Arabidopsis thaliana: one gene and its partner. Each later gene encodes a partner of the first gene's protein in a complex. Each region holds a gene or a part of one and is shown on either strand. Other genes may lie near its edges. A codon is read from its position in the direction of its gene.

Region 1 (3,754 bases):
CGAAAAAAGCATCGGAGATATGTCGTCTAAGGACAAGAAACTATCGAAGCCAACAAGTGGTCGTACTGGTGGTATCCGTACACTTTCCGATCTGAACCGAAGATCAGAACCTGATTCCGATAGTGACTCCGATGGACCTCAAGAATACTTCACCGGTGGCGAAAAAAGGTTCGTACTTAAAAAACCCTTAAATCACTAGTTTTACTATGATCTGCTTAATTATGATGTGTTAACTAAAGTTTTTGATGATTCAACTATAATGGTCTTAGGCCAATTAAGTGTTTTAATCAAAATCATTACTTTTTGAGATTTGTGTAGTTTAGTGAGTAATTTATTAATCATCAATTATCTATTTGATGATTAGTATGGTTGGTAAATTGTTGGATCTTTGTTTTGTGTTTTATGTGTGAAGTGGTATGCTTGTTCAAGATCCTACAAAAGAACCAAAACACGATGATGTTGATGAGATATTTAATCAAGCAAGACAGCTAGGAGCTGTGGAAGGACCTCTTGAGCATCCTTCGAGTTCTAGAAGCTTTACAGGAACAGGAAGATTGCTTTCTGGAGAAAGTGTGCCAACGGCTCTTCAACAGCCTGAGCCTGTGATTCACAATATTATTTTCTGGTCTAATGGATTCACTGTAGATGATGGACCTTTGAGGAAGTTGGATGATCCAGAGAATGCTTCTTTTCTTGATGTGAGTGTGAATTTTATTTTGGTTAATGCTTATGAATTGGCTTATGAATATTGTGTTGAACTGTCTTGTATTTTCGTGTATTGCAGAGCATTCGAAAGTCTGAATGTCCGAAAGAGCTTGAGCCTGTTGATAAAAGAGCTCCTGTACATGTTAATCTTATGAGAAGAGATGAGAAGTGCCCTGTAAGTTCCTATTGGGATACACTAACTTGTGCTTGATCCATCTTATGACTATGGTACCAACACTTATAACATCTTTGTTTCTTCTTCTTTTGTAGGAGAAAGAAAAGCTTAAGGTTTCATTTCAAGGAGTTGGAAGGACTCTAGGTGGTGCAAGCTCATCAACAGCTTCAAGCCAAAGTAACCTAACTGATGTAGCAGCGGTTCAATCACCGTTACAGAGCCTTGTAGTAGATGAAACTCTTCCATCCACATCGATCCAGCTTAGACTCGCGGATGGGACACGCATGGTAGCAAAGTTCAACAACCATCACACGGTTAACGACATTCGTGGTTTCATTGAGTTTTCTCGACCAGGGAATCCAAACAACTATACCCTTCAGGTCATGGGGTTCCCACCAAAGCCACTTACTGACCCTTCTCAGACCATTGAACAAGCCGGTCTAGCAAGTTCTGTAGTCATTCAGAAATTCTAGAAAAGTTTCGTTTCTCTTTTTTTGTACTAGAGAGAGATTTCAACAACTTGGAATTGTACTGAAAATATTCAATCGGCTTATTGTTGTGGCAAGAGAAATAAAAACATCATATGGTTTCTATCTTGTTTCGTTTCAATGTGTTTACTTTCATACTTGTTACCTATATGAGAGTGAAAAGTTTGAGTTCTAACATTACTTCAAATTTCACATGAACAATTATTTGATTTTCTTTGTTTTATTAAAGTTCAATCTAAACAATTAGTGTATGACAGTTTGGTAATATCAAAATATCATTGAACTTTTGATTAAATATTCATGTTATTGCTGTGCCAAACTGGCTATTTTGGACGTACGTATATCCATGATTAATTTAGTTTCATTCACTAATGTTTTGATTAGTTTCATCAAATACCAAAACTAGTGATTATTGTATCAAACAATTAGTAATTTTCATTAGCCGAAAGATTAAACACGCGTGCTACCATTCTAGATTTAAATATAAACATTGATCTTGCCAGTAAATGGCTCAAATACATGATAACATAAATAAAAAAAAAACTTGAATAACCATGAAAATTATTGTACTGTTTCACCTATAAACTTTTACTTTTACTTGCTCAAAATATTCAATCAAAGTTCAAAACGACAGTAAAAATTTGAAATTCGAGCCACTTTTTTTTCCCATTTTACGGTAAATGTGGCAGGAAAAAGTAACAATATTTCCAAAATTGTTATAAGAGAAATAAAATAAAAGCAAAGGGCAAAAAAATGAATTGGGCTTTGTGAACAGTAAAACTCCCAAATTTGCAAATGACTCATCTTCTTCACCTGGAGAGAATCTAGGGTTCCAGATTTACTCTTCGTCTTCCTCTCTTCGCTTCTTCCCCACTGGGATTTTCCTTTTCTTCTCCTTTTTTCTCTACCCATCGATCTACACATCCTGATCTTCTTAGAAGCCCCAATCCTTATACATTCCGGGAACAAAAAACCTAGCTTTTTTTTTATTCCGGCTTAACCAGTTTTCGAAAAACCCTAGCTTCCATGGCGAAAACTCGACCTGGTGTCGCCTCCAAAATTAAGACGGGAAGGAAGGAGCTGGACTCTTATACCATCAAGGGCACCAACAAAGTTGTGAGAGGTAGTGCTTATATTATCATTTGTTATCGTCACTTGTCAAATTTAGACATTTCTCTGCATGATTTTGGGCATTTGAGTGTTGAGTAATGGTTTATAAAGGAAGGGATTGCTTGAAAGCTTGGTTATGGAGTCAATGTCTGCTTAGGTCTTTTAGATTCACTCTTGTTTTTGGTCTTTTTGTTCTGGTGTTGTGTAGCTAGCTGCTAAGGGTATGTCACTGCTCCGTAGGGTGTTCTAGTGTATGAAATGGCACAAAATGTGATATTTGGTAGCTCTCTTGTTGTTAGAACTGAGATTTCTTGCAGTGAATTGTTTTGATTTGGGCTTTTTAGTGTAAATTTCCTTGCTTTTTTGGTTTCTATAAATGAAGTTTGTGTTTGGCTGGTTGGTTAAATGTGAAACATGAATTCATTGTATCTCTATCATCTGCATTGTAGCTTGTTATGCTTGTTGACGCAAAATGTGTGCTTTCACATGTTAAGTGTCTGCGTATACCTAGAATTCTGGGTTTTTCCTTCTGGTGAATAGGTGCATAAGAGTTATGGTCTAGGCATTTTTCGTTGAAGGGAGTGATCTTTAAAAGCTTGAACACTGTTTTTTAAAATTTGCAACCCATACTTTTGTTCATTTAAAGCTTATACCTTTTTTAGATGTTAGAATTTTAGTGTTGGGCATTTATATCACTTTACTAATGTGCATGATAAGCTCTGAACTAATCTTTGAGGTTATTTTCTGCAGCGGGAGATTGTGTGTTGATGCGCCCATCAGATGCTGGTAAACCACCATATGTGGCCCGTGTTGAGAAGATTGAAGCTGATGCGAGGAACAATGTGAAGGTGCACTGTCGATGGTATTACCGCCCTGAGGAGTCACTTGGTGGTAGGAGACAATTTCATGGAGCCAAAGAGCTTTTCTTGTCTGACCATTTTGATGTTCAAAGTGCACACACCATTGAGGGAAAATGCATTGTTCACACCTTCAAAAACTACACGAGGCTTGAAAACGTTGGGGCAGAGGATTATTATTGTAGATTCGAGTACAAGGCTGCTACTGGCGCATTTACCCCTGATCGAGTTGCTGTGTAAGTAGATAAATAGTAATCAGATCAGAACTACGCCTTCTTATTACCTGGAATTTCCATGATTTTTTATCTGTTGTGGGTTGTTGTTGGTTCTGAAGGTACTGCAAATGTGAAATGCCTTACAATCCAGACGATCTCATGGTGCAGTGTGAAGGCTGCAAAGACTGGTAAATGTTGATATTT
Region 2 (3,321 bases), on another chromosome or scaffold:
TCTCAACCGTCGAATATTAAAGAAAGAATGAAAGAGAGAGAGAGATTTTTCGAATTTGGAAGTTAGCTTGAATGATATATAAGCCAAGAAGAGCTTTAATGGAGTCAAAACGTAACATCCAACAACAAGAGTAGTTTGTGGGTTAAGTCAATGAGTTGTTGTTATAGATAACGTGCAGGTCTTAAATAATTGAAGACTTCTTTATCTTTGCCATTACAGAAAAGAAAAAAAAAACAGAACATATATGAATTTAGAATTTGAGGTTACATTATTGTTTATACTTAGTACTCACAATTTAAAAAAACTTTGATTCAATTTCTTAAACCTTTTTTTTTTTTAATATCTGAAAGTTCAAATCTAAAAATCATATATCTTCTCTACATCAGGTTAAATTCAACTCTTTTGGAAAAGAGATACCTTCCACCTCGAACTCAGCACCTCCACCTAAAAAATTTACCACTGACCAACAGTACATTGGTAATTTCTTAAACTTATTGTGATGAATTAATCGATAAAATAACACATAATTCTCACCACTGAAAGAGGACTTTGATAACAGAGAGAAGATTATGCTGCAGGAAAATAAAATGATTAACCCTGCTTTGGTCAATAAATTAGAACCATTTTGACACAAGTCACTAAGACCTGAATACAGATGTAACAATATACAAATAAGTTACAACCAAAATGACAACTTCAATTGCAAATCTAATAAGTTAAACTGAAGACTGATTCTTAGAAAGTTGCAAAAGTAGATTAAATTTTCATTTGGGCATTTCATCGAACATCTGGAAGACACTTCAGAACAAAAGACTAAGAAAACTCAAAACCAAATCTAAAACATGAATCTACAAATCTTATGAGAGCAAACAAGCAAATCTACACTAGACCATTGTTTTTCTTCTTCATCTTCTTCAAATCTTAAGCCCTCTCACCTCTAATCCTCCTCGCAAGTTGAATATCCTTAGGCATAATCGTAACCCTCTTAGCATGAATAGCACAAAGATTAGTATCTTCAAACAATCCAACCAAATAAGCTTCAGCTGCTTCTTGAAGAGCTGCGACTGCACTACTCTGAAACCTAAGATCCGTCTTGAAATCTTGAGCTATCTCACGAACCAATCTCTGGAAAGGAAGCTTACGGATCAAAAGCTCTGTGCTTTTTTGATACTTTCTGATTTCACGTAACGCTACTGTTCCTGGACGGAATCTGTGTGGCTTCTTCACTCCTCCGGTGGCTGGAGCTGATTTCCTTGCTGCTTTCGTCGCCAGTTGCTTTCTAGGAGCTTTTCCTCCGGTGGATTTTCTAGCTGTTTGCTTTGTTCTAGCCATTTTGAGAATTCTTGACAATGAAAAATTTGAAGCTTTTGATTGTTGAGACTGTCGTGTTTGATTGGTATATACAGAGTGAGGTTGGGATGCTTTTTTATACTCAAAGAAGAGAGAATTTGGTCCGTTAGATGTGTTTTCCTCTAAACGGTCAAGATTGTTTTTATCTTTGCTATCTGCGTCGTATGTTAAGTAACCAATCAGAGTGATTCTTTCAGTTGTCGAGGATTCTACACGTGGGATATTTATGATGACGTGTTAATTATTGCGATGTGTAACGGTGTTTGTGATCCAAAGACTCTGAGTGAGACAGAAGTGTTTTCATCTTTGATATTACGATCTGTTCAATGAATTTATTCCATCAACAGATTGCGAAAATTTGTAGGCTTTTACAATACAAACTCTGATCTCTCTCTATTTGTGATATCTGTTTTTTTTACTTATAAAATATCACATAAGCTTCCTCTGTTTCACAAGTTTGACATCCTGAATTGTGTTTTAAATCTTCTACATTGTCTCTAGTCTTCAAACATACATGAACATAAGGAGTTCAAGGCTCAAATCGGGCAACACTGAACACAAACGGGAGGCTGTTTTTCTATGTTGCAGTCACAGCAAGCTGTTAGGCAATGGTTGTTGCAGCCTGCACGTGAAGAACAACAACAAAAAGCAATGGTACCTTCCACAGTTAAAAAACATTATCGTTGTTTTTACTTTCTAGAACTAGTATTCGAAGCTATGGTACCTTCCACAGTAACAAATAGAGACTTCTGATGCTCCCGCAAGCTCGGAAAGAACTCAAACTGTTGTTTAGTTGCTGGAGCAACATCGGTTGCTGTTCCAATAGTAACCAAAGAGACAAAGAATATAGCTAGTGTTGCCGGTGTCATCTTTCTTGTTTGTTGTGTGATCAGTACTTGCAGTTATACTTACGCAGTCAATCATAAATGTCAAGGAAGTTATGATTGATACTTTTCTATGATTAAGCTATGATTGATAATACATCACGTTGTGTTCATGTGTACAGAAGGCAGAGACACAAGTACATGAAATGATTTTATCATAGGCCAATGCAGAGGGAACACAAAAGAGTAGATGATAAGTAGATGAGGTTTAAGTTTACTCGAGTTTTATTACTTAAAGAGGAGATTTTCAGCAAGATACAACCACAAAGCTCATCTACTTGGGAAGACTTGCAAACGAGTTTTTTTAAGGCGCTAATATTTGGCAACAACAATACAAGAATGAATTGAAAATCCGAAGAGGTTTTGTGAAGATTATTAGCTTCAAACGTTAAGACTGATGAGTTTCCCAACGGATCCCGCACACAAACTTAGCTGTTTCAACGCTGAAGTTGCTTGATGTGAGTAATCTGTTTTCCTGGGTTCAAACCCTTTGGACAGGCACGAGCACAATTCAAGATTGTATGGCAACGGTAAAGCTTGAACTCGTCGTCAATAGCCTCAAGTCTTTCCTTAGTGTACTCATCACGACTGTCGCTTATCCACCTACACATACCAACAAGTCTCTTGTTACAAACACATCGAAAGGTCAAATTTCTATTGAATGCCCCATATATAGATCAGCTTCCTAAACCAAAACAACAATTCAGACAGTAATACAGTAGTGAAGAACCACATAAGTGAAATCAATGCAGCTAACAACAATATATGAGAATCTTCCCAACCATCCATGCAAATTCTGAAAGCAAATTCCAAGAGTGAAGGGTTCCTAGTTCTACAATTTGCAACCACTTTCCATCAAAATAGACTTGAATGAGAATCAATGCAGCTAAACAACAAGATATACAAAATCTTCCCAACCATCCATGCAAACTCCAAAATCAGACTACAAGATAAATCGTTTCCTAGTCCTACAATTGGAATTCAATTCCCCAAAAAGCCAACTTCTATATCCATTTTCAACATACCAATCCTTCAAACAATCTTTTTTTCACTTACCAAGACAGCAAAATAGACTTGAATAAACAAC

Evidence for each region.
Region 2: the proteins of EBS (region 1) and AT3G27360 are in contact, whole or in part, in a crystal structure (PDB 5Z8L), measured with the Arabidopsis thaliana proteins. Residues at the interface, in NP_001320030.1 of Arabidopsis thaliana: Arg40, Pro41, Ser42, Tyr49, Trp70, Tyr71, Tyr72, Glu76, His95, Phe96, Asp97, Gln99, His102, Thr103, Ile104, Glu105, Ala135, Ala136; in NP_189372.1 of Arabidopsis thaliana: Lys24 (codon at 1,263), Ala25 (codon at 1,260), Ala26 (codon at 1,257), Arg27 (codon at 1,254), Lys28 (codon at 1,251), Ser29 (codon at 1,248), Ala30 (codon at 1,245), Pro31 (codon at 1,242).

The regions. Positions count from the first base shown.
Region 1 is NC_003075.7:11,728,871-11,732,624, reverse strand, and holds the start of EBS (PHD finger family protein / bromo-adjacent homology (BAH) domain-containing protein), read left to right. Parts: upstream 1-2,115; 5' UTR 2,116-2,394; coding exon 2,395-2,491; intron 2,492-3,228; coding exon 3,229-3,571; intron 3,572-3,669; coding exon 3,670-3,738; intron 3,739-3,754. Other genes in the region: PUX3 (UBA/UBX domain protein), read left to right, coding at 20-168, 413-698, 785-880, 976-1,353. UniProt on the Arabidopsis thaliana protein: Chromatin remodeling factor that binds to methylated histone (e.g. H3K4me2/3) to prevent their acetylation (e.g. H3K9K14Ac), likely by recruiting histone deacetylase (HDAC) complexes, and thus regulating the transcription of target genes.
Region 2 is NC_003074.8:10,128,538-10,131,858, forward strand, and holds AT3G27360 (Histone superfamily protein), read right to left. Parts: upstream 1,401-3,321; 5' UTR 1,333-1,400; coding exon 922-1,332; 3' UTR 568-921; downstream 1-567. Other genes in the region: AT3G27355 (Hop-interacting protein), read right to left, coding at 1-1; SDH2-1 (succinate dehydrogenase 2-1), read right to left, coding at 2,672-2,837. UniProt on the Arabidopsis thaliana protein: Core component of nucleosome. Nucleosomes wrap and compact DNA into chromatin, limiting DNA accessibility to the cellular machineries which require DNA as a template.